Diceros bicornis minor: one gene and its partner. Each later gene encodes a partner of the first gene's protein in a complex. Links are inferred from orthologs where the notes say so. Each region holds a gene or a part of one and is shown in the gene's direction. Other genes may lie near its edges.

What was found.
Region 2: the proteins of KCNMA1 (region 1) and LRRC26 are in contact, whole or in part, in a cryo-EM structure (PDB 7YNZ), measured with the Homo sapiens proteins. The link is inferred for Diceros bicornis minor from reciprocal best matches to the Homo sapiens genes KCNMA1 and LRRC26. Residues at the interface, in NP_001154824.1 of Homo sapiens: Pro78, Cys79, Asp80, Ser81, Arg82, Gln84, Trp88, Ala92, Ser93, Val96, Thr97, Glu155, Trp158, Met159, Ser161, Val162, Trp165, Cys206, Leu226, Leu227, Phe229, Gly230, Leu231, Phe233, Ile234, Asp251, Phe252, Pro256, Phe259, Val260; in NP_001013675.1 of Homo sapiens: Gly204, Cys205, Gly206, Cys207, Ala208, Arg236, Leu237, Ala249, Phe250, His252, Cys253, Ala254, Gln255, Leu257, Arg260, Asp261, Leu262, Val264, Val265, Tyr266, Leu268, Gly269, Pro270, Ser272, Phe273, Ser276, Leu277, Cys280, Leu281, Leu283.

The regions. Positions count from the first base shown.
Region 1 is NC_080745.1:29,680,931-29,693,223, forward strand, and holds the start of KCNMA1 (calcium-activated potassium channel subunit alpha-1), read left to right. Parts: upstream 1-7,172; coding exon 7,173-7,201; intron 7,202-7,342; coding exon 7,343-7,404; intron 7,405-7,449; coding exon 7,450-7,529; intron 7,530-12,293. UniProt on the Homo sapiens protein: Potassium channel activated by both membrane depolarization or increase in cytosolic Ca(2+) that mediates export of K(+). It is also activated by the concentration of cytosolic Mg(2+).
Region 2 is NC_080767.1:43,701,330-43,713,193, reverse strand, and holds LRRC26 (leucine-rich repeat-containing protein 26), read left to right. Parts: upstream 1-9,756; 5' UTR 9,757-9,960; coding exon 9,961-10,633; intron 10,634-10,715; coding exon 10,716-11,023; 3' UTR 11,024-11,237; downstream 11,238-11,864. Other genes in the region: ANAPC2 (anaphase-promoting complex subunit 2), read left to right, coding at 4,239-4,368, 4,614-4,849, 4,948-5,160; TMEM210 (transmembrane protein 210), read left to right, coding at 7,897-7,984, 8,126-8,261, 8,485-8,514, 8,700-8,901. UniProt on the Homo sapiens protein: Auxiliary protein of the large-conductance, voltage and calcium-activated potassium channel (BK alpha). Required for the conversion of BK alpha channels from a high-voltage to a low-voltage activated channel type in non-excitable cells.

The DNA.
Region 1 (12,293 bases):
ATATAGCACAAAAGCAAGAGTACTAGAGAACCCATTTATAATGGGAAAAGTTATAGACACACAGAGACACACACGGGTAAATACAGGCACACACGCTCACACCATCTCCATTAGCACCTTATGTCTGAGTATTCATATATAATTTCCACCTTGACCTCAGTGACTGTCTCCCTAGGAAAACTATGTCTTGTGGCCAAGCAGGGCCTCACCTCAAGGTGTAAGCTGTGTTTACACTGCCTGGGCTGTACCTCAGCCCCTTTACAGATTCATGTTTTGTGCTGCTCTTCAAAGACTGATCTTGCCAATATAGCTATCAGCTCCTTGAGCAAAGATAGAGACCTTAGGGCCGGCCCCGTGGCTTAGCGGTTAAGTGCATGCTCCGCTGCTGGCGGCCCGGGTTCGGATCCCGGGCGCGCACCGATGCACCACTTCTCTGGCCATGCTGAGGCCACGTCCCACATACAGCAACTAGAAGGATGTGCAACTATGACATACAACTATCTACTGGGGCTTTGGGGGAAAAAATAAATAAATAAAATTATTTAAAAAAAAAAAATCCTTCATGTCCAAAAAAAAACCAAGCAGAACCTTCCCTTTAAAAAAGATAGAGACCTTAGAATTACTCTTTTTGGTTATTTTCCCCATATTTCCATGCGATGACATTTGGATATTGCTCCAGGAAACATACACATCTAATCCATGAACTGAAAATATGTGCTACTTGCTTTAACGTGAGGGGGATGATCTATCGAAATCAGGAGAAAGAAAAACACCGGTCTTTCCCTTTATCTTCCCAAATATATCGCATGTATGGCATTTTACATTAACATTGTGTACACAGGCTGGACCACTCCATCCTTATCTCCTAGGGCCCAAAAGAAAATATGTATCAAATGTGTACGTCTTTCAAATACAAATAATCCTGTTGGTTTAATAGAGTTAAATAGATACGTTCCCTGCTGTGCTGTTTGCACGTGAAATTGGACCAGTTGAACAAAGTGGAGGTGCACATGGGTATACACTTGATCAAATATGTGACATTCATGGCCTTCATTTCTCCCTTTAGGTGGCTCGTGGTGCTGGTGACATTTTCTTCAGCATCCTCTACTTTTTTTTTCAGTGGTACCTGGTGGTAAATTCACACACAGCTCACGTTTCCATCTTACTCTCTCTTCCTCTCATCTATGCTCCCCCCTACCTTTTTTTTTTGTACATTTTAGGCAAATCTACGTAAAATTCTTATATCACCTACAAATGCCGTACCTAAAGACCAGAGGCTTCAAGGGCCTGTATTTTTAGTAAGAAGGCTCCCATAGCAAACATTTAGGTCCTGCTCTGTGCAATTGGGAGTAAACTGAGATTTCATTTGAGTTTTTTTTAAGTCCCCTAAGTGAGGTTTCTTCTCAAGGAAGCATGTGGTAATTCCCCTCCAGGACTTGATAATGGCTCTTCATTTTATCCTATAATACCCATAAATAGAATTTATATTTTGGGTATGAATCAATAAGTTGAAGGTGTGCTTTCTTTATATTATTAAACATGAAATTTTGTCTTCGTTTGAAGAAAGATGCACTAGATTGCACTAGATTTGTTACTGGTGACCCAGCATCACTGGATGGGGAAACATGAGTCAGAGGAGTCACTGAATCCAGCAGGCACCCACAATAGGTTGTGAACTGCCTGTCACTGGAGATGTTCAAAGGGAGGCAGCATCACATTTGGTGGTGCTGTTGCTGACTGTTGGTCAGACTTCATCCTTGTTGTTTTAATTAGGTTTTACAGAAAACTAGATCTAGGAGATGCTCCAGGATAAAAATGGAACTTGGACAGAATTCATTTCTCATCCCCTTTCAAGATGGCCATGTGTATCAGCGTGTAAGGCGCGAAGAAGTCCTGCAGTAAGAAAGCAGGACGTCGTTTTGCCCAGCATTTCCCATTCCTCTTTCACCACAGAACCTTTTCCCTGTGAAGCACCTGTAGGCATCACAAAGCACACACTTTGGGAAACGTGTAACTGCCCAGGGATGGGCAAACTGCGACCAGTGGCTCACAGCTGGGTCACTGCCTGTTTTGTACAGCTCACAAGCTAAGGATGGTTTTTACATTTTAAAAAAAAATCAAAAGAATATTTTGTGACATGTGAAAATTATATGAAATTCAAATTTCAGTGTTCATAAACAAGATTTAATTGGGACGCAGCCATGTTCACTCATTTACATATCATCTCTGGCTGCTTTTGCAATGCGCTACAACGGCAGAATTGAGTAGTATCCACCGAGTCCGAAATACCCGCTAGCCTAAAATAGTTACTGTCTGGCCCTGTACAGGAAAAGTTTGCCAACCTCGGGACTAGATCATCAAGTTCCCCTTCTGCTCTATGACTGTCAAGATTCCTCTCTAAGTGGCCAGTGGGACTTGGTCCACTCTTCCTCGTGGCACAAGGTGATTGATAAGATGTACCATCTATCCCCTTCTCATGGAGAGCCGCTACATTTACTTCCACAAGCTCAACTAAATGATGCGGTAGACATGTGGAGACAGAAGCCAGAGCCAAGTGGGCCCCCAAGTTCCACAGCAGGTTCTCAGCTGGCTCAGCATATGGATTTCCCGTTCCCAAGGTCAGTGGAAAGTGTCTGGGAATTTGTAGCAGGGTCATTCCCGAAGTCTTCCCTCCACCTGTCTGCATCCCCTGCAGTCAGCACACCCCAGGCCTCTCCCGGCAGCCCAGAGTCTAGTCCCTACCACGAGGACACTCTTGGTTCGGGCCTGCAGGCCAGGCGCCTCAGCCATGCTGGCTGCTGCAGGCCACGTGCTCGGTGTGCCGACCTCTCCAGCGCATTCTGTAAAGAGCAGCTGTTAATTTTACTAGCTGGTGTGCTGGCTTCTCTGACCTCCCCTGTGAAAAGGAAGGAGAGGTTCAGAAATCAGTCTTCAGCTCTAGAGAGAGGAAGATCCTCCTGGCCCAGGAGCAACCTGCTTCGTCCCAGCCATTCATCTCTGGCTCCCAGGGCCTCTGGGCTCCCGTGGCAAGTGCTGATGCTGCTGTTGCCTCTCTCCTCTGGAGTTTCTGGGGGAAGTGGGTGCTTGCTTTGTCCTTCCACCTCATCTGTCTGTCCGTTCATCCATCTATATCCATGCATCCATCTTTCCAGTCCACATACCTTTACTGGTGTTCCTCGGAACACAGAATTGAATGTAGCACCCAGTCAGTGGGTGCCTAATAAATAAGGCAGGGCACTTCAGGGCCTTCCCTTGCCGGTCAGCAGTGCATCTGTTCTCTGTGTTTCAGCTTCTCTGTCGGGACTGGGAGATAGGAGCCCTGCCCCCTTGCTGATCCAGCGTTATCTGAACTGGGGCTCCTACTCTCCTCTGATCTCCGTCTGGCTCCTTGTGTCACCTTCTCATTTGATTGGAACCAACAAGGAGGATAGGTGGAGCACTTAGCATCCCCAGGTCTCCAGCTCCTGCTTTTCCTCTCTCCCCAGAACATGCACTTGTGGGAAGGGGTGCTGAGGCCCTTGGAAAGTGGAGGGCTGCTATGTGTGGTACAGTAGGGCGGTTAGGAACCCAGCCTCTACAGTCACTCTGCTGAGTCCCAGCTGCACCACTCCCTAGGGCTTTTGCCCTGGGCTAGTCGCTTCATCTTTTGGTGCCTCTGTTTCCTCATCCCCCTTCAATGGGCATAATAATAGTCCCTGTCTCTTAATGTTGTTGTGAAGATTTGATGCATTAATACATGTGAAATGTTTGGAATGGTGCTTATTACATGGTTAGTGCCTAATAAGCATTAGTGATTATTATTTTGTTATTGTTGTGTGAGCCCAGTCAGTATGTCCTGGAGGAAATGGGCTCGTGCGGAGACACACGGGGTAGGGAGAGGAGAATAAATCCTTTCCTGGGACAGAGATGGAGCAGCCCTGAGACCTCACCAAACCCAGACGTCCTCTCAGAGTACTGAGCTAGCTTTGGGCATGGCCACTTGAAAGGGGTCTGAGTGTCTCAGGCAGGGCCTGGTTTCGGTCCAGCCAGCTGAGGATGTTTGCTCCACGCACACAATTCAGACCCTGTCATTTCTGAAGCTGGCTCATGCAGCCTGACTCACCATTGTCCAGTCAGCCAGGAAATTCTCACTTCCTATAGCCTCCCCGAGCTGGCCGGGGGCCGAAGGCAGGCTGGGCTCTCCCTGGGAGCTGTGCGTTGTCAGCGCGTGTATCACAGGAAACACCTTGGCAGGATGACAGATGCGTCTTCATTGCGTTCACTGTGGTCCCTGTGTCCAGTCCTCCCTGGGTGTGGGCGAGGCTGACAGACACAGGGCTGGTTTCAGAGGGCACGTCAGCACCAGCATGCAGGGAGGTGTCTTTAATATCCATTTTGGTGTGCAACAACCACAAATCCATTGGAAGGAGGCAGGAAAGTGTAAGTCACCAGAAGATAAGGAGACAGATTCTCCTGTACATGCAAGGCGTCTCTTCTGAGCTATTTCATCCTTTCCTTCAAACGTTCCTGGGGCACCTGCTAGGTGTCAGACGCTATTCAAGGCACTGGACACATGTTGGTTTTTCTAGCAAAATCTGTAAAGTGAAATCATCCACAGTGCTGAAATGAAAATGTGATGACTGCATTTTGTTACAATGCTTTTGGGTAGCAAGATTTGTGAAGTAGTTTGGTGATAAATCAGAGCCTGTGACCTGCGCATCAGCCCTTGGACAGGCCTGGGAGCCTGACTCTTCTAATCTTGATCTCACATCCTGGGTCTTCCTGTTGCTGGACTCAAGGGGCCTGAGCAACTGTGTTAGACTCACTCCTTCCTTCCTTCCTTCCTTCCTTCCTTCCTTCCTTCCTTCCTTCCTTCCTTCCTTCCTTCCTTCCTTCCTTCCTTCCTCCCTCCCTCCCTTCCTCCCTTCCACCAGTAAGAGCTGGCGCCCCCTGGAGGCTCTGTAGGAAATGGAATGCCTGTATTTGGAGCCCACCATCTTGGGCTGGGAGAGCTTCTCACCCAGCTTTTCCCCAGGGGCCTTCGGAGGATGCCAGTAGTGTAGCAGCCCCTATTTGCCAGAAAAATATGCCGGTGGACTGAGACTCTCCTTAGAGCCTCCATTTCCGCTGCAAGGAAGTTGGTTTAGCAGGGATGCTCAAAAATAGAGATGATGATGATGACGAAGTCGCCAGCCATTGTCGTTGCGGGGAAGCACGTGCTTGGAAAGTCACACTTGGGACCACATGCAAGCTAATGCTTCCAAGTTTAGTTTACTAGGCTATGTTTAGGAGGAGGCAGACTGATGCATGCCTCCAGGCCCCAAACATCCCAATTTGGTGCACTAGAAGCCCCATTTTTAGGGTCTGGGTCCAGAGTGAGGCTTTTTCCAGAAAAACAGCTACTTCAGGGGAATGACAACAGAAATCCACCATTTGCCCTAAAAATTTTATTGCAAAAAATATTCTCCTGTGTTTGAGTAGTGAGGGAAGTAGGACAGGACAGTTGCTTCTCTGTCTTTCTTAAGGAATTAGGGCACTCGATTACTGGGTGCATCTAAGGAATTAGATGCACCCAGGCCTCTTACGCACCAGGGCTATCTTTTTGCCCATCCAGTTAATTTTAGTTCAGAAAATTGGCCTGGTGCTGGCATGGCAGGCACAAAGAAGCTGAAGCCAGGGGCCTGTCTGAGTGGAAACTTGGTTCCCAGTTCCCAAGCCTGCGGGGACACAGATCTTTCCCGAGGGCCTGGAAGGTTACCTGTAAACTGTGCCTCCTCCCTGGGCAAGCAGACCTCTGGGCCTTCCTTGTTTGTGGGAGGTGGGTTAATCCAGAAAGTAAATGGACTGGGCATACTGGTTTCTTATACCTGTGGAGAATCTAGAATCCAACAGATTAATCTGAAGGGTTGAGAAACCCTCATGTTCCTAGAACTCTTCCCAGACTGCCTTAGCAAAGAGGCTCAATTTTGACCTTTACCCCATTTCTCTTTTTAGTCTTTTTTTTTTTTCCTTTCCTTTTTGTGGCTGTTGGTGGAGCAACTGTCCTAAGGGAAACGGGGAGCAGCTCGTTGAAAAGCAGAGAGGAAGAAAAGACCCTGTTCCCACACCACCCTCCCTCAAATTCAGGCTTTGTTTACAGTAAAAATAGCTTGAAACAGAGGCCGAATCACAAAAAGGTGGCATTGCAGAGGGCAGAGGCTACTGGTTCCCTGGCTGCCACACCAGCCTGCTGGGTTTGTTGGCCTCTGGACCCCTACTTGCACAGGAAGGCGTGGGATTTGGAATCCCATTGGGAGGAGTCCAGACCATCCTCCTTGTGTGTCCTGCTGGATCTTTCTGGAGCTAATTATACCAGCCGGGTACTCACAGAGCCTTCTGCCTGGGCTTGTGCCCTGGGGGAGAAAATAACTTCCGGCAAAGAAAGCGGCTGTTTTCAGGACCTGCTTAATCCCACAGGCAACTACGTGGGCTCCCAGGGAAGCTGCCCAGAGCCGTGAGGTGGGCAACTTGGTTGCCACCTTAGACCTCTCCAGGAGGAAAGCTTAGATCATCAGAAAGGACAAGTTTACTCACCTAGGTTCATGCTATGTGTGTCTCTGGGCCTTGGGGATTGGTGACCGTGTTTGAGATCAGTTTGGGATCTGAGAGTAGAGGTGACAATCACTTACTTTCATCTGAGGAACTGTGATCAGCAGAAAACTGGGTTCTTATCCTGGCTCTGCCGAAACCTCTCTGGTGACCTTGGACAAGTCAATTCCCTTTCAAGGCCTCGGTGCCTCCATGGATAAAATGAGTGGGGGAGCGATAGTCTGTGCCCTTGCAGCCCAAAATGTTTCTATGTTTTCTCGTTCCCTCTACTGTCCTTCAATCAGCAAAGGCAGCAAGGGTTTACGGCAGACCTATTATGCACTTGGCAATGTGCTAGGCACTAGGAGAACTGCAGAAGGAGAGAGAAGATTAGTCCTCTTGTCCGGAGCAGCTGGAGAGAAGCAGGGTATAGTCCAGGGGCATCCCTGCGTGGCCCTCTCCTGGCTTTGCATTTCATTAAAAATAAATCCGAAAACTCTCCCTGTGTGATAAGGCCTGTGCTTCTCACTCATCTCCTAGAACTCTTTTCTTCTGGACTCCTTTCCAGGTGTATCTCAATATACAGAGAAGGGAAGCATCTAGCAGAGGGAGCAGGGCCCGTGACCATGGAGTTGGGCGGGATGAAGGATGCCTTGTGAGGAGGGGGTCACATCTCCAAGGGCCAGGTCCTTCCCAGAGAAGTTAGCTTCTTTGAAGCCATTTCAGTCTTGAATCTCCCTCCTTGAGCCATCTTCAGCCAGAAACCTCTGAGGGGATCACGTTCCGATTCCTCCAGCACCAAAATTGACGTTAAGAGCCTTTTCGCCATTGAGCAGCCTCTGCTTGCGGAGACCCTGGGTGAGATACGGCATCTGTCCTGTGCTCTTTGCCTTGCTTTGACAGAAGTGCTGCTGAAGCAAGTCATTGTTCCTGAAAGTCCATTCCTCTTCCGGAGGCAGAAGCAGCTCCATCTCTTTGTACCTGTAAACATTTCATAATAGGCTCATTTATTTAAAATAATGACCGGCAGAGGCACCCAGGAGGGGCTGGGGAGCTAGGAAGCATTGCTGCGGCGAAAGTCGTTTTTTATTTCTGGAGCAAGGTAGCACACCCAGGGTGCTGGTGGGAGTTGCCAGGCTAACCCCCAAATTTACAGCCAGGGTGCGAAATTTGAGGATTCTTAGTGGATTTGGTGTTGCAGAAATTCTCCAAATGAAGCTTCATTTTGGGTGAACTTTTTTTTTTTTTTTATTGGTTTATAACATTGTAAAAATTTCTGGTGTACATCATTGTACTTCTATTTCTGCATAGATTACATCATGTTCACCACCAAAATACTAATTACAACCCATCACCATACACATGTACCAAATTATCCCTTTCACCCTCCTCCCTCCCCCCCTTCCCCTCTGGTAACCACCAATCCAATCTCTGTCCCTATGTGTTTGTTTATTGTTGTTATTATCTACTACTTAATGAAGGAAATCATACGGTATTTGACCTTCTCCCTCTGACTTATTTCACTTTGCATTATACCCTCAATGTCCATCCATGTTGTCACAAATGGCTGGATTTCATCGTTTCTTATGGCTGAGTAGTATTCCATTGTGTATATATACCACAGCTTCTTTATCCATTCGTCCCTTGATGGGCACTTAGGTTGCTTCCAAGTCTTGGCTATTGTGAATAACGCTGCAATGAACACGGGAGTGCATGTACCTTTGCAAATTGGTGTTTTCAAGTTCTTTGGATAAATACCCAGCAGTGGAATAGCTGGATCATATGGTAGTTCTATCCTTGCTTTTTTGAGGAATCGCCATACTGTTTTCCATAGTGGCTGCACCAGTTTGCACTCCCACCAGCAGTGTATGAGAGTTCCCTTCTCTCCACATCCTCTCCAACACATGTTGTTTCCTGTCTTGTTAATTATAGCCATTCTGACGGGCGTGAGGTGATATCTCATTGTAGTTTTGATTTGCATTTCCCTGATAGTTAGTGATTTTGAACATCTTTTCATGTGTCTGTTGGCCATCTGTATATCTTCTTTGGAGAAATGTCTGTTCAGGTCTTTTGCCCATTTTTTAATTGGGCTGGTAGTTTTTTTGTTGTTGAGATGCATGAGTTCTTTATATATTTTGGAGATTAAGCCCTTATCAGAAGTATGGTTTGCAAATATCTTCTCCCAATTGTTAGGTTGTCTTTTCGTTTTGTTGATGGTTTCCTTTGCTGTGCAGAAGCTTTTTAGTTTGATGTAGTCCCATTTGTTTATTTTTTCTATTGTTTCTCTTGCCCGGTCAGATGTGGTGTTTGAAAAGATGTTGCTAAGACCGATGTCGAAGAGCGTACTGCCTATGTTTTCTTCTAGAAGTTTCATAGTTTCAGGTCTTACATTCAAGTCTTTAATCCATTTGGAGTTAATTTTTGTGCATGGTGTAAGGCAAGGGTCTACTTTCATTTTTTTGCATGTGGCTATCCAGTTTTCCCAACACCATTTGTTGAAGAGACTTTCTTTTCCTCATTGTATGTTCTTGGCTCTTTTGTCAAAGATTAGCTGTCCATAGATGTGTGGGTTTATTTCTGGGCTTTCGATTCTATTCCATTGATCTGTGTGTCTGTTTTTGTGCCAGTACCATGCTGTTTTGGTTACTATAGCTTTGTAGTATATTTTGAAATCAGGAAGTGTGATACCTCCAGCTTTGTTCTTTTTTCTCAGGATTCCTTTAGCTATTCGGGGTCTTTTGTTGTTCCATATAAATTTTAGGATTCTTTGTTCTATTTCTGTGAAAAATGTTGTTGGAACTTTGATAGGGATTGCATTGAATCTATAGATTGCTTTAGGAAGTGTGGACATCTTAACTATGTCAATTCTTCCAATCCAAGAGCACGGAATATCTTTCCATTTCTTTGCGTCGTCTTCAATTTCTTTCAGAAATGTTTTATAGTTTTCGGTGTACAGATCTTTCACCTCTTTGGTTAAGTTTATTCCTAGGTATTTTATTCTTTTTGTTGCAATTGTAAATGGGATGGTATTCTTAATTTCTCTTTCTGCTACTTCGTTGTTAGTATACAGAAATGCAACTGATTTTTGTATGTTGATTTTGTATCCTGCAACTTTACCATATTCGTTTATTACTTCTAAAAGTTTTCTGGTGGATTCTTTAGGGTTTTCTATATATAAAATCATGTCATCTGCAAATAGTGACAGTTTCACTTCTTCCTTTCCAATTTGGATCCCTTTTCTTTCTTTCTCTTGCCTGATGCTCTGGCTAGGACTTCCAGTACTATGTTAAATAGGAGTGGTGACAGTGGGCATCCTTGTCTGGTTCCTGTTCTTAGAGGGATAGCTTTCAGTTTTTCACCATTGAGGATGATATTAGCTGTGGGTTTGTCATATATGGTCTTTATTATGTTGAGGTACTTTCCTTCTATCCCCATTTTATTCAGAGTTTTTATCATAAATGGATGCTGTATCTTGTCAAATGCATTCTCTGCATCTATTGAGATGATCATGTGATTTTTATTCTTCATTTTATTAATGTGGTGTATCACGTTGATTGATTTGCGAATGTTAAACCATCCCTGCATACCTGGAATAAATCCCACTTGATCATGGTGTATAATCTTTTTAACGTATTGTTGTATGCGATTTGCTAGTATTTTGTTGAGGATTTTCGCATCGATGTTCATCAGTGATATTGGCCTGTAATTTTCTTTTTTTGTGTTGTCCTTGTCTGGTTTTGGTATCAGGGTAATGTCAGCTTCGTAGAATGAGTTAGGGAGCTTCCCCCCCTCCTCAATTTTTTGGAAGAGTTTGAGAAGGATAGGTATTAAGTCTTCTTTGAATGTTTGGTAGAATTCACCAGGGAAGCCGTCTGGTCCTGGACTTTTATTTTTGGGGAGGTTTTTGATTACTGTTTCGATCTCCTTACTGGTGATTAGTCTATTCAAATTCTCTACTTCTTCTTGATCCAGTTTTGGAAGGTTGTATGATTCTAAGAATTTATCCATTTCTTCCAGATTGTCGAATTGGTTGGCATATAGCCTTTCATAGTATTCTCTTATAGTCTTTTGTATTTCTGAGGTGTCTGTTGTAACCTCTCCTCTTTCATTTCTGATTTTACTTATTTGTGCCTTCTCTCTTTTTTTCTTGGTGAGTCTAGCTAAAGGTTTGTCAATTTTGTTGATCTTTTCAAAGAACCAGCTCTTGGTTTTATTAATTTTTTCTATTTTTTTTTGGTCTCTATTTCATTAATTTCTGCTCTGATTTTTATTATTTCCCTTCTTCTACTGATTTTGGGCTTTGTTTGTTCTTCTTTTTCCAGTTCCTTTAGGTGCATTGTTAGATTGTTTATTTGAGATTTTTCTTGTTTCTTGAGATAGGCCTGTATCGCTATAAACTTCCCTCTTAGAACCGCTTTTGCTGTATCCCATAAATTCTGGCATGTCATATTTTCATTTTCATTTGTCTCCAGGTATTTTTTTATTTCTTCTTTGATTTCTTCATTAACCCAGTCGTAGTTCAGTAGCATTTTGTTTAATCTCCATGTATTTGTGGCTTTTCTGATTTTCTTCCTATAGTTGATTTCTAGTTTCATACTGTTGTGGTCAGAAAAGATGCTTGGTATTATTTCAATCTTCTTAAATTTATGGAGACTTGTTTTGTGGCCTAATATGTGATCAATCCTGGAGAATGTTCCATGTGCATTTGAAAAGAACGTGTATTCTTCGGTTTTTGGATGGAATGCTCTGTATATATCTACTAGGTCCATCTGTTCTAGTGTGTCATTTAAGGCCAATGTTTCCTTATTGATCTTCTGTTTGGATGATCTATCCGTTGGTGTAAGTGGAGTGTTAAAGTCCCCTACTATTATTGTGTTACTGTCTATTTCTGTTTTTATGTCTGTTAATAATTGCTTTATATATTTAGGTGCACCTACATTGGGTGCATAGATATTTACAAGTGTTATATCCTCTTGTTGGATTGTTCCCTTGATCATTATATAATGCCCTTCTTTGTCTCTTTTTACAGTTTTTGTTTTAAATTCTATTTTGTCTGATATGAGTACTGCTACCCCAGCTTTCTTTTCATTGCCATTTGCGTGGAGTATCTTTTTCCATCCCTTCACTTTCAGTTTGTGAGTGTCTTTAGGTCTGAAGTGTGTCTCTTGTATGCAGCATATATACGGGTCTTGTTTTTTTATCCAATCAGCCACCCTATGCCTTTTAATTGGAGCATTTAGTCCACTGACATTTAAAGTAGCTATTGATAAGTATGTACTTACTGCCATTTTTTTAATTTTTTTTTTCCTCAGTGTTGTAGTAGTCCTTCTCTGTTCCTTACTTCTTCTATACAGAATTGATGGTCACTTTAGTTTGACCTCTGTCTGAAAGCTGTACTCTTTAACTCCCCTCCTCCCTCCTTTTATGTTTTTGATATCATATCTAACCTCTTTTTTGTGCATTTGTATCCATTACGTTCTAATCATGGAAATAGATAATTTTTCCTATTTGTGGTCTTCTCTTTTCCCCTTAAATGCGTCCCTTTAACATTTCTTGTAGCACTGGTTTCTTGGTGACAAACTCTTTTAATTTTTGCTTATCTGGGAAAATTTTGATCTCTCCTTCCATTTTGAATGATAACCTTGCTGGGTAGAGTATTCTTGGCTGTAAGTTTTTTTCTTTTAGTACTTTAAATATATCGTGCCATTCTCTTCTAGCCTGTAAGGTTTCTGCTGAGAAGTCAGCAG
Region 2 (11,864 bases), on another chromosome or scaffold:
CCGGTTGGCAGGCGGGCTGTTCCTGACCTGGTGACCCTTCCAAACTCGGCCTGCCCAGGATGGTGCCGGGCTGTGCAGGGGCAGTTGGGTGTGGCCGTCTCTGCAGTCAACGCTTGCTCCCCCTGCCGTCCCCACCTAGGACCCTGTGCGTGTGCATGTGTGCATGGGCGTGTGAGCATGTGCTCCCGCACACACCTGGGGTGGGGATGCATCTCCTGTCTGGGCTTCTTCTTCCACTGTCTACTCTCTGGCCTCTCAGACTGGGGGGTGGGGTGCTGCGCCTGCCCCAGGCAGAGTTGGGGCTGTGGCGTCTGCCCAGTAGCGTCCAGGAAGTCTCCAGATTGCTTTTGAGGCATTTGACCTCTGTGACTCGGACCTTTCCCAGCTTACTTCTCTGGAAGCTGCTTTCCTGTGAGCTAGGGCGCTGGAGCACCAGCACTGTGCTGACTGCTGTCAGGGTCCCGGGGGCCTGGGCTCAGAGAAGGAGAGGGACCGGAGCACCGGAGGCATGTGGTGTGGTCAGGGGTGCGGCCTGGATGCGGACTGGCCTAGTTTAGTCCTTGTTTCTTCCAGCAGCTGAGTCCAGCATTCTTGGGGCGGGGAGTCCAGGTGGGAGGTGTGGGAAGATGGGGCCTGGTGTGGACAGGGGTTGAGAGTACATAGGGAGGACTCTTCCTTCCACGAGATGGTTCAGCAGAGATGTGTCGGGAGAGAGGAGGGAGTTAGGACTCATACCAGGTTTCTGGGGACAGGTGGAGGAGCAGGCTCTGGGGCATTCAGTCTCACAAGTGGGTTGTGGGGCATGAGAAGGCACAGGGTGCAGCCCAGCGAGCACTCGGGCCTGAGGGGATGCCGGGCACCCAAGCGAGGCCGAGTCCAGCAGGACCTAGGGTGCAGAACCTGAGCCCCAGGAGCACCCGGGACACCCCCAGAGATGGGGGGCGGGGAGCAGCCAGGGCTCAAGGAGCCCTCTGGACGAAGCCCTGGGAGGGAGGCAGGTGGGGCTGGGGTGGAGTGGGGTGGGGGGCCGAGCAGGGCTGGGCGGTAGGAGGGGCGGCAGCTTCTCCAGGTTTGCTGTGAGAGAGGTGCTGGGTGTAGATGCATTTGGTGTTACAGGCCAGGAACCTAGTTGCTAGGAGAGGAGGGCTCAGTGCAGGACAGCCAGTCCCTAGAGGGGAGCTTCCTTCCAGAGACAGGTGAGGGCGGGATCCTGGAGTGGGGAGGCTCCAGTGAGCGCTGGCTGCCAGGCCTCCCCACTTCCCGCTCCTGTCCACGGTGTGGCACTCGCTCTGTGGAGCCTGCCAGCACTGCAGACGCCTCCCCCTGGTTGAGGAGATCTGTGTGCTCGGTGCCCCCCTGCCTCTTCTGGCTGACCCGTTGGTGTGCAGCCTCCCTCTGCTCTGCATTACCCCTGCCAGGGGAGGCCCTGCTGGCTTCTACTAGGGTCTCCACTTGGGTCCTGGGGACCACGCAGGGTCCTGGCTCAATGTACCTGATGTGATGGCCACACTCCAGTACCCTTGGTCTTAACTCCAGCTAAACACTGGAGTGGCTAGGGCAGGTCCCAGGGCTGTGTCGAGAGGGCAGCCTGTGGCCATGGTGCCTCTGTCTCTGACCAGCTGAACTCCTGGCCTGAGGACCATGCTGGACATATGTGGGTGGCTATGCAGCCCACAGAGCATCCTTGCCCATGCTGTCTGCTGCTGGGCCTTGCATCTGCCCCGCTACTGGCTGGAGTGGTGGCTGTAAAGGTCGTGGCCTTGGAGCCAGAGCGCCTGGCTGCACCTCTACTGGTTGCGACCCAGGCAACCTGCGACTCTGCTTTGGTTTTCTCTGCAAAGTGGAGATGGTTGTTGGCTCCCCTTTACGAGCTGTGGGGATTGTAGAAGGACTCAGAGCAGTGTGTGGCCCTGTGACTGTACCGGTGTCCTGGAGGTGGCCGTAACCAAGTACCACAAATGGAGGCTTAAAACAACAGAAGTTTATTGTCTTGGTTCTGGCAACTAGAAGTCCAAAATCAAGGTGTCGTGGGATTGTGCTCCCTCCAAAGGCTCCAGAGGGGAGGCCTTCCTATCTCATCCAGCCTCTGGTGGCTGTAGGCACTTCTTGGCTTGTAGCTGCACCACTCCAACCTCTGACTCTGTCAGCACGTGGCTTCTCCCTGTCTTTCTCTCGCTCTGAATTTTCCTCTCCCTATAAGGATGCCAAGTCGTATTGGATTAAGGGCTCACCCATCCTGTTCTAGTACGACTTCATCTTAAATAATTACACCTGTGCTGACCCGACTTCCAAATAAGGTTACATTTTGAGGTACTGGGGGTTAGGGCTTTAACATCTTTTGGGGGGTCACAATTAAACCCATAAGAGTCCACCCTCTTGTCCCCTGAAATTCATGTTCTTCTCACATAAAAAATACATTCAGCTAATTCTAACATCCCCAAGAGTCTTGACTTTTCCAGCACCAACTCTAAGTTCTATCTCATCTACACGTCAACTCAAGGCCCCAGATCTCAGCATCTAAAGAGCGTCTCAGTCAGTTCAGGAATGGTTCCTCCTGGAGCACAGTGCCCCTCAGCTGTGGACCTGCGAAACCAGACACGTAGTTGTCTGCTTCCAAAGGACAGTTGTGGGACAGGTGTAGGGCAGACACCCCCATTCCAAAATGGAGAAGCCACCAGGAAGGAAGCCAGGTAGGGGTCACAGGCCCGAAGCAGTCTGAAACCCAGTGGAGGAAATTCGATTTGATTTCGAGGACTGAGAAAATCTTCCTTGGCTTGAGGCCATCTTCTCAGCCTGCAGGGGCGGTCCCCGCACCAGGCCGGGCCTCGGCACCCCAGCTCCCCTCAGACTCATGCTCTCATTGGCCGTCTCTCCGTTTTGGTCCAGGCTGGCAGCGTTTTGCTGGTATAAAATCCTCAGCAACCTTGTTGGCCTCCAAGCAGGTAATGGGCGTCCAAGCTGTCGGACGTGGACCCTCACGTCTTTCCTGGACAGCCTCTCTCTGTCCTGGCTTCTCTGAGCCTGCCGGCTAGCCCCACCATTACATGCTCATCTCTTTGGCCATACTCATGGCTTTGTCTCCAGAGCACACAGAAAAATGTCCAGATCAAGTGCTGCCTCCTCTGGCTCACCACTTCCTTCCTCGGTTTTTTCCTGTGTGTTTTACTACCAGCAGCAAGGAGACACCAGGCTGCACCTTGCGCACTTTGCTTGGAAATCTCCTTGGCTAAATATCCAAGGTCGTCACTTGCAAGTTCTGCTCCACACCCAGCAGAACACAGCTCTGTCAAGTCTCTGCCACCTTCTGACGAGGGTCGCCCATCTGCTTTCCACTGACATGTGTTCCTTTCCACAGCCCTCGCCAGGGTGGCCTCTGCTGTCCGTGTTTCTACTGACAGTCTGTTTAGCGCAATCCAGGCTTTTACAACCTGTGGCCCAGAACTCTCCCAGCCGCCACCCATCACCCAGCTCCACAGCCACTTTCACATTTTTAGGTATCTGTTACAGCAGCACCCCCATCCCAGGACCAAAATCTGAATTGCGTTCCTGTGGCCCCGTTAACAAAGAACCACAAACCAGGTGGCTTAAAATAGCAGCAATGTCTGGTCTCGGTTCTGGAGGCCTCTGGAGTCTGAGGCCACGGTGCCGGCAGGGCTGGGCTCCCTTGAGAGCTGCAGGAGAGAGTCCTTCCTGCCTCTTCCAGTGTCTGGTGGTGCCGGCAGTCCTCGGTGTTTCTTGGCTTGTAGCCACATCACTCCCGTCTCTGCCTCCATCTTCACGCCTTTGTGTGTCTGTCTTCACACCATCTTACTTCTTCTTGGAAGAACACCAATCATATTAGATGAGGGCCCACCGGACTCCAGGGAGGCTTCATCTTAACTAATTACATCTGCAGCAACCCTGATTCCAAGTCAGGTCCCGTTCCGAGGTCCTGGGCGGGTAAGATGTGGATGTCTGTTTTGGAGACAGTTCAACTCATAGCAGCAGCCCTTGCCATTAGGTGCTCACTGTTAGGCCCTCATTGTTAGGTCCTCGCCGTTACGTTGTGGTGGTTGAAGGAGCGGGGACCAGAGCCCCACTGTATGCTCATCCTGCTGCTGACTGCCTGCCAGCCTGCCGGGAGTGTGGGGAGCAGGTCAGGGAGCCCTTTCCCCGTTTGGGGTCAGGTAGCAGAGCCTCGTCCAGCTGGGCCTAGCCGGACCCGCTGGGCTGCCTGTGCTGAGCCTGGCCCTCCCCAGGCCATGCGGACCCTCAGCTGGAAGCACACCCTCGGCCTGGTGACCATGGACGTGGAGCTGGCCGACCGCACCCTGTCTGTGGCGGTAACCCCCGTGCAGGCGGTGGTCTTGCTGTACTTCCAGGACCAAGGTGAGCCCACTGGTCCCCAACTGGCCTGCCCCAGCCACACCTCCTGGGGGCCAGTGCTGGGCACGGCTCTATGTCTGCCGGGGTGGGGGGACCATGCAGGCAGCAGCCCCTTCCTCCCCTTTCCCACGGGGCCTGGCTGGGCCTCGTGGTCCTGCTGACCTCTGGGAAGCTGAGCTGGGCTAACGAGGCAGGGGGAGGCTCGGCCTTGCCCAGTCTGCCAAGAGTGCCTGGCTGCCCCTGCACAGCCAGTTGGACCCTGGAGGACCTGAGCAAGGTGGTGAAGATGCCCATGGCGCTGCTGCGCCGGCGGATGTCGGTGTGGCTGCAGCAGGGCGTGCTGCGGGAGGAGCCTGCTGGCACCTTCTCTGTGGTGGAGGAGGAGCGGCCCCAGGACCGAGACAACATGGTGCTCATCGACAGCGACGAGGAGAGCGACTCGGGCATGGCCTCCCAGGCTGACCAGAAGGAGGAGGAGCTGCTGGTGTGTGAGGTGGGGGGTGGCAGCCGGCTTGTGCCTCTGTGTGGTGGCCGCCTGGAGGGTGGCCTGCCTGACGGCCGGCCTGGACACTGTCCCCCCAGCTCTTCTGGACGTACATCCAGGCCATGCTGACCAACCTGGAGAGCCTCTCGCTGGAGCGCATCTACAGCATGCTGCGCATGTTCGTGGTGACGGGCCCCGCACTGGCCGAGATCGACCTGCAGGAGCTCCAGGGCTTCCTGCAGAAGAAGGTGCGCGACCAGCAGCTCATCTACTCGGCCGGTGTCTACCGCCTGCCCAAGAACTGCAGCTGACCTGCCAGGCCCTTCCCACGCCATCCCTGCCTCATCCCTGCCTCGGCATGTCCTTCTCAGGTCCCCCACCAGCAATCCCCACTCCCCGCCATGCCCAGCACCCCCCATGCCCCTGCCCAGCCCCCAGAGTGCAGAGTAAAGCAGATGGTTCTTCACTCTTTCCCTGTCCTGGTGGCTTTATGGGCCCTTCAGGGACACGTGATACAGCTTCTCCCCCCAGACAGGCCTCCACCTCAACCTGGCAGGGCCTGGCTCCCTGGGAGCAGGTGAGGGAAGCTGCACGAGTGGCCAGGCCCAGCCCTGGCCTGCACCCCTGCCTTTGGGCTCCAAACCTGAAGGAACCCTGGGATCTGGGTGTCTCTGGACTGCACGGGCTGGGGAAGGGCCTCAAATCTGAAGCCCGAGGCTCAAGCAGCAGTGCACCAGGGGTTGGCTGCCCTTGAGCCACCTCAGGGCCTCCAGCTCCAGCCTCACTCCTCTGGCCTTTGAAAGGAGCCTTCGGGTCATCCTGCCTCTGCCCAGCCTGAGGGTGTGGCCCCCAGGTGCTGAGCCGAGAGCCCCAGGGCTGCTGCTGGGACGTGTGGGCCCCACAAGAGGCAAGTGGTGGCCAAGCATCTGCTGCTAAGCCAAGACTTTGCCACCTCTCCAGCAGGAGGGGCTGCCTGGGACACGCCCTTGTGGCGAGGAGGACCCGGCATTTGTCCATCTGCCCCGCATAGGGTCGGGCTGCTGCAGGCTTCGGGGCTCACGATGGAGTGTGCTTTCAGAAGGCCAGTTACTTTCGTGCTGCGAGACGTGTGGCCTCGGTGCTCGCATCCTAAGGTGAAGGACCCCGTGAGCCCAGCCTTCCCAGGCGCAGGGGCGTGGGGCTGATGCGTCCAGAGCACTGGGTCCTGTCCAAGGCCCATACTGGGGCCCGCCACTGCCCAGGTCCCAGGAGGCAGGGGAAGGCATTAGTTCTGCCCAGGCCCGAGGCCTTCACAGCTGCCCTGGGCACTACAGCCTCTGTTGCTGAGACCTTCACTGGTCTAGCAGGAACCGCTCTAGTCTGGCGGCGCTGTCCTCACAGGCAACAAAGGCCCTTTGGAACCAGCGCCTCCGCTGTGCTGCTCCTGCCTGCTCGCGGTGCATCCCAGGTGCATCCCAGGCCCCGCACAGCTTCCGGGTCCCCACCAGGCTGCCTCCCAGCCCAGCGCTCACCCTACCTCTCTGCTTTGGCCTGTTCCACGTGGGGTCCTGACAGCAGTCCCACTTCCAGGACTTGCCCCTCTCACTCCAGAGAGTTCTGTTTGCACGGGGTTTGAAGGGGGAAATGGTAGGAGTGAGGCCCCTAGCCTTAGCAATTTAAGGAGTCTGATGAGCCAACAGCCCCCTCCCTTGGGCTCTGCGCACCAGTCCGCTCCAGTGCTGGCTGTGCTATGGGCATAAGAGGGCTTCCCGCCCTCCTCTGAGTGCTGCTGGAGGCCCCGCCTGGCACTGGGCTGGGTGCACCTTCATCATCCTAACCAGGATGCAAACCGGCTGGACTGGCCTAGCAGGGTGGCAGCACCAGCCCCCGGGCACTGGCACACCTGTTCCTTGTCCCTTTGGACTCAAGTTTGTGGACAAGTGTAGTAAAGTCCAGCGTGTCTTGGGTCACAGTATCACTCATGAGGCACAGAAGTGTGCCACAAGCTGCTGGCTGTTCCCCGAGGGCCCCACCAAGAGGAGGGCACCTGTGCCAGGGGTCACAGAGGTCCATGGTGGCCAGGGGCCAGCTGGGGCAGAGCTGTGCCCTTCTCCCTGGCACCCAGCGGGGTCATTGTGGGACGGGGCATTTCCTCCTGCTTGTGGTTGGCTTGGCAGGGCCTCAGGGGAGGGGGAAGGGCCAGTGCAGGAAGTGGGGGAGGAGGATGAGGTTAACCCTGACCACACCAGCCTGCAGGCAAGTCCCTTGGGCAGTGCTTGCCTAGTTTGCAGGAAGCTGCACAGGGAACAGACCCTTGGAGGGGCGGGCAGGTGGGCCCTGAGGTGGCAGTGGGCTCTAACTTGAATGCCACGTTTAAGCCAAGCCTTGGATGCTGCCTGCAGTCATTTCTGAGCCACCTGCTCCTAGAGGAGGGTGTTCTGGGAAAGCTGTGGCCTGTGGGTAGCGCCCCCCACCCCCGTCCTGGGTGATTGGGGATCCCTGAGGGGCCCTCCAGACCTGGGCATTGCTGGGGTGTGGGCAGGACCCTCCTCAAAACAGCCAGTGTGAGGGCAGCAGGCACAGGCCCACCCCAGCCTCCTCAGCCCCTGCTTGTCCCTGTCTTGGGGGGAGGGTGGTGACATCGGTCAGCCCCCCCCCCCCCCCCCCCCCGCCAAGCTGCTGCACCTCTTACCCTGAGGCCGAAACTGAGGCCCGGGGCTGCCCGTTGTGGACCTCCAGGTCACTCGGCCACTATCTTCACCACCTCAGGGGCCCAAGTGTGAGCCCCACCCCTTCCCTGTGAAGCGCTACCCCAAGGCCGGGGCAGCCCCACCATTTTCTCTGCCTCAGATCTGGCCAGTGCACTAGGAGTGGCTCCTGTCCACCGTACCTGACCCCCCTCCCCCCAGGGCTGCCTATTCAGAGCTCCTCAAATCCAGGTGCCCAGGGGCGAGTGAAACTCTAGCTGGGGCCCTGCCCCCACCCTCCCTGCCTCACAGCCCAACTGTGACGTCAGCGCCTTCCGACGAGTTCCGTCCAGAGGTTTGCCTTGGGGCCGGGGGCTGGACATGGCCCCCCGTCCCCAGCCTGACTCCTGCCTCGTCGGCAGCCCCCTCGGCCTGATATGTGTGTCCCTTTTGCTCATCCCAGCTGCAGGTGCCGCCTCCTGCCCCCATGCCCTGCCCCAGCCAGGCCCTCCCTGGTCCAGTTAGGCCAGGCACCTATGTCCTGGTGGCCACACGGTGGGTGGCACCCCAGGGTCTTCCGCCGTGGGTGACGATGGCCCTGTCTCTGCAGCTGGAACCTACTGCGAGTGCAGCCTTGGCCTCAGCCGCGAGGCCCTGATCGCCCTGCTCGTGGTGCTGGCGGGTGTCAGTGCCAGCTGCTTCTGTGCTCTCGTCATCGTGGCGGTTGGCGTCCTGCGAGCCAAGGGGTTCGTGAGCCCCAGGACTGGGGTGGGTGGGTGAGGGCCATGATGCCCACCCTGGGCCCTCGGTCTTGCCAGGAGAGGGGCCTCTGCCCCTGGTGGATGTCACCAGGGGCTTGGGAATGGCATTTCCCAGGCTGTGGGGTTGGTGGGGGGCGGAGGGCACTTTGGGGGTCCTGTAGGCCAGCCCCATTGTTCCAGGATTCACATCTACCTTTGTCCTCTCCAGTGAAACATGTCCTGGACACATGGACAGCAGGTGAGTGACCCTAGGGGAGGCCTGCCAAGGGTGAGCTGTGTCCCTGCTCCCTGCCCCGGGACGTGTGGTTCACAGACACATCGGGGCACTGACCCCAGGGCTGGGTGTGCCCTGGGCGGTCAAGGCCTCGTGAGCCGGTGCTGACCACCACCCGCAGCTGGCCTGACCCAGCCCGTGGCGTGCAGGTTGGTGGGGCACTTCGGGGTGCAGGAAGATCACATGGACTTGCACACGGTGCATGTGGAGTCCCACCTTGTGGAGCCTGACCTGGAGGTCTCCATGATGCCGTCCCTGGAGGATCACGGCCTCATGACCATCCCCATGGACTCGACGGCTGCATGTGTGACTCTGGAGGAGCCGCCCTGCCCACCCCCACCACTTGAGTAGGGCTGCACAGCGAGGGGGAAGGGGAATTAAACAGTATTTAGTAGTTCTGTGCTGTCGTCCCTGCCGGCTCCTCCTAGAGCCCCACCCCACTGGGCAGCTGTGTCATGGGGTGGGGAGGGGTCTGAGCGCACCTGGGTCATTTCTTTTATCTTCGATGGGGGTGCCCCGTTTCCACACCAGGCACCCACTGTCCACCTTCCAGGGCAGGGAGCCACACCCTTGGTGTTTCCACTTCCTCCTGCCATGGTCTCAGCCCAGCTCCTCCCTGCATCTTCCTGCTGCTTTGTCCCAAGAAGCTGGCAGGGCTCTTGGGCCCCTGCCTCCCCCCACCCCCCTAAACCCCCAGGACAGGACCTACAACTCTGGCGACTCCAGAGGGAGCAGCATTTGACAGGACTTGGGCTGGTGCCCTGCCCCACCCACAAAGTCTCCTTGAGGTTCCAGGAGAGTCCTTAGAGGGCAGGGTGGGGCAGACCTGACTGGGCTCCCCTGCGCCAGGTGTGCAGTTCCTCCTCCACCCCACAACCTGCCTCTGGGCTCAGCCCCATCATGTGCTCGTGCCCCACCAATCATCCGCCATCAGGATGGGACCGTCCTTATGTGGGGGGCCACTGTGTGTGTGCACTAGGGTCACTCTGCTGAGCCTGAGGCGGCGGTGAGGAGCAAGGTGCACTGGGTCCCGTTCCGTGTGTGGCATCCATGAGTTCGGTGGGTACAGGGGTGGGTGTGGCGGGGTGTCCAGCTGCTCAGGCCTCAGTGGGGCGAGGGGTGGTGGACGAAGCAGGGGAGGAGGGGGGGCGTCTCCTCAGCGCCGCTGCTGGCGCAGAGCCAAGAGGAGCCCAGGGCTCTGGGACAGATGGCTGGCAGTGCCGGGCGCTGGCTATGTGCCCAGCCCCCGCCCTAGGCGCGGGACCAGCCATGGGACAGGAACTGCCGGCCCTCGAGCCGGAGAGTTAATATCTGTGAGGGTGCCGCAGGGACGGACCGGCTCCGGGGACGGACGGGTTCCGGAGACGCACGTACAGCAGACCTCCCACCGCGGGTCCCACCGCTGCCCCCATGCGGAGTCCCTCTTTTCTCTTGCAGCGGCGGCCGCCGCTGTTGCTGCTGCTGCTGTCGCCGTGGCCAGTCTGGGCCCAGGCGCCCACTGCGGCCGCCCCCTCAGGGACCCCGGGTGCCCCGGACTGCCCCGAGGCGTGCGCGTGCGCATCGGGCGGTCAGGCCAACTGCTCGGGGCGCGAGCTGCCCGCCGTGCCTGCGGGCCTGAGCCGGAGCGTGCGCGCGCTGCTGCTGGACCACAACCGCGTGCGCGCGCTGCCGCCCGGCGCCTTTGTGGGCGCTGGCGCGCTGCAGCACCTGGACCTGCGCGGCAATGGGCTGCACTGGGTGCACCCGCGGGCCTTCTGGGGTCTGGGCGCTCTGGAGCAGCTCGACCTCAGCGCCAACCAGCTGGAGGCGCTAGCGCCCGGCACCTTCGCGCCGCTGCGCGCGCTGCGCAACCTCTCGCTGGCCGGCAACCGGCTAGAGCGCCTGGAGCCTGCGGCGCTGGGCGCGCTCCCGCTGCTGCACGAGCTCAGTCTGCAGGACAACGAGCTGTCTGCGCTCGCGCCCGGCATTCTGGCCGGCCTGCCCGCTCTCAATGCGCTGCGCCTCCGCGGCAACCCCTGGGCTTGCAGCTGCGCGCTGCGCCCGCTCTGCATGTGGCTGCGCAGGCACCCACGGCCCGCGCCAGGTGAGCCCTGGGGTCGCGGGCGGGCGGGGGCGGCCACTGACGCCGCCGCCGCCGCCTCCTGACGCCACCCCGTGTCCCGCAGAGACCGAGACGCTGCTCTGTGTGTCGCCGGTGAGCCTGACGCTCAGGCCCTTGACCGCCTTCCCCGATGCCGCCTTCCGCCACTGCGCACAGTCACTCGCCCCGCGGGACCTGGCCGTGGTCTACGCACTAGGGCCCTTGTCCTTCCTCGCCAGCCTGGCCGCCTGCCTGGCGCTGGGCTCCGTGCTCACCGCCTGCCGCCGCCGCCGCGCCGCCGCCCGCCGCCTGCCGAGGAGACCGCCGGATCCCGGCCCCTGCTCGGCCTCGCCCGCGGACCCTGGGAGCCCCGCTGCCGCCGCCCAAGCCTGAGGCTGCCCTCGAATCTTCCCTCTACTCCCTGCCCTCCTTCACACCCCTGCAGGCGTCAACAAGTAACACAGACCGAACTTCTCGTGACATTCCTTTAGGCATCACCACTGCACACACCGGGTCGTGGGGCGGTGCGCGCCGGGCCCTGGGACGGAGGGGCAGCGCGCGGCTGCGCACGGGCCGCAGGGGAAGGCACGCGCTCGGACACGGGAAGGGCTGGACCTGTACAAGGTGGTGGGCAGGGCTGAGGACAGTCCTGAGCCAGCGTCTGGAAGCCCATCCTGGGCTGCAGGCTGGAGGAGGCAAAGACAAGGCTCGGCCCTCTGGAGTCCGGAGGAGAAGGTCGGGCGGAGGCAACGGGAGCCGGAGCGCGCCCCTGGGAGGCGGCTGCCAGCGGGGGGGTCAGGGTCTGCCATCGGGGAAGGGCAGGGCCAGCTCGGAGGATGGGGTAAAGTGGAGGCGGGGCGAGGGTAAGAAGAGGGTAAGAGGTGGAGCCGAGGCTGCCAGGAGCAGGCGCTGGAGGAGGGGTGACCCAGCCAGCTGGGGTTGCGGCCCCCAGGCGGCTCTGGTGGTGGCTGGGGAAGGATGGGGCTTCAGTCTGTGCTCCAAGCCCCTCCGTTGGGGGCCAGGTTGGCCCCTCTCCCCACTGCTCAGAGACCCCAGGGCCCTGCCTCTGCCGGAGTGCCCTGTGGCCCTGCCCAGCCAGCTCAGCTCTGGCCCGTCCTCAGCCGCTCTGGTCCGTGCCTCGGTCCAGCAGGGGCTGCCCGCCAGGCAGCAGGGCGGGCGGACGGACGGACGGGAGGCCCAGGGTGGGCAGTCTCGGGCAGGTGGGCTTCCCTCA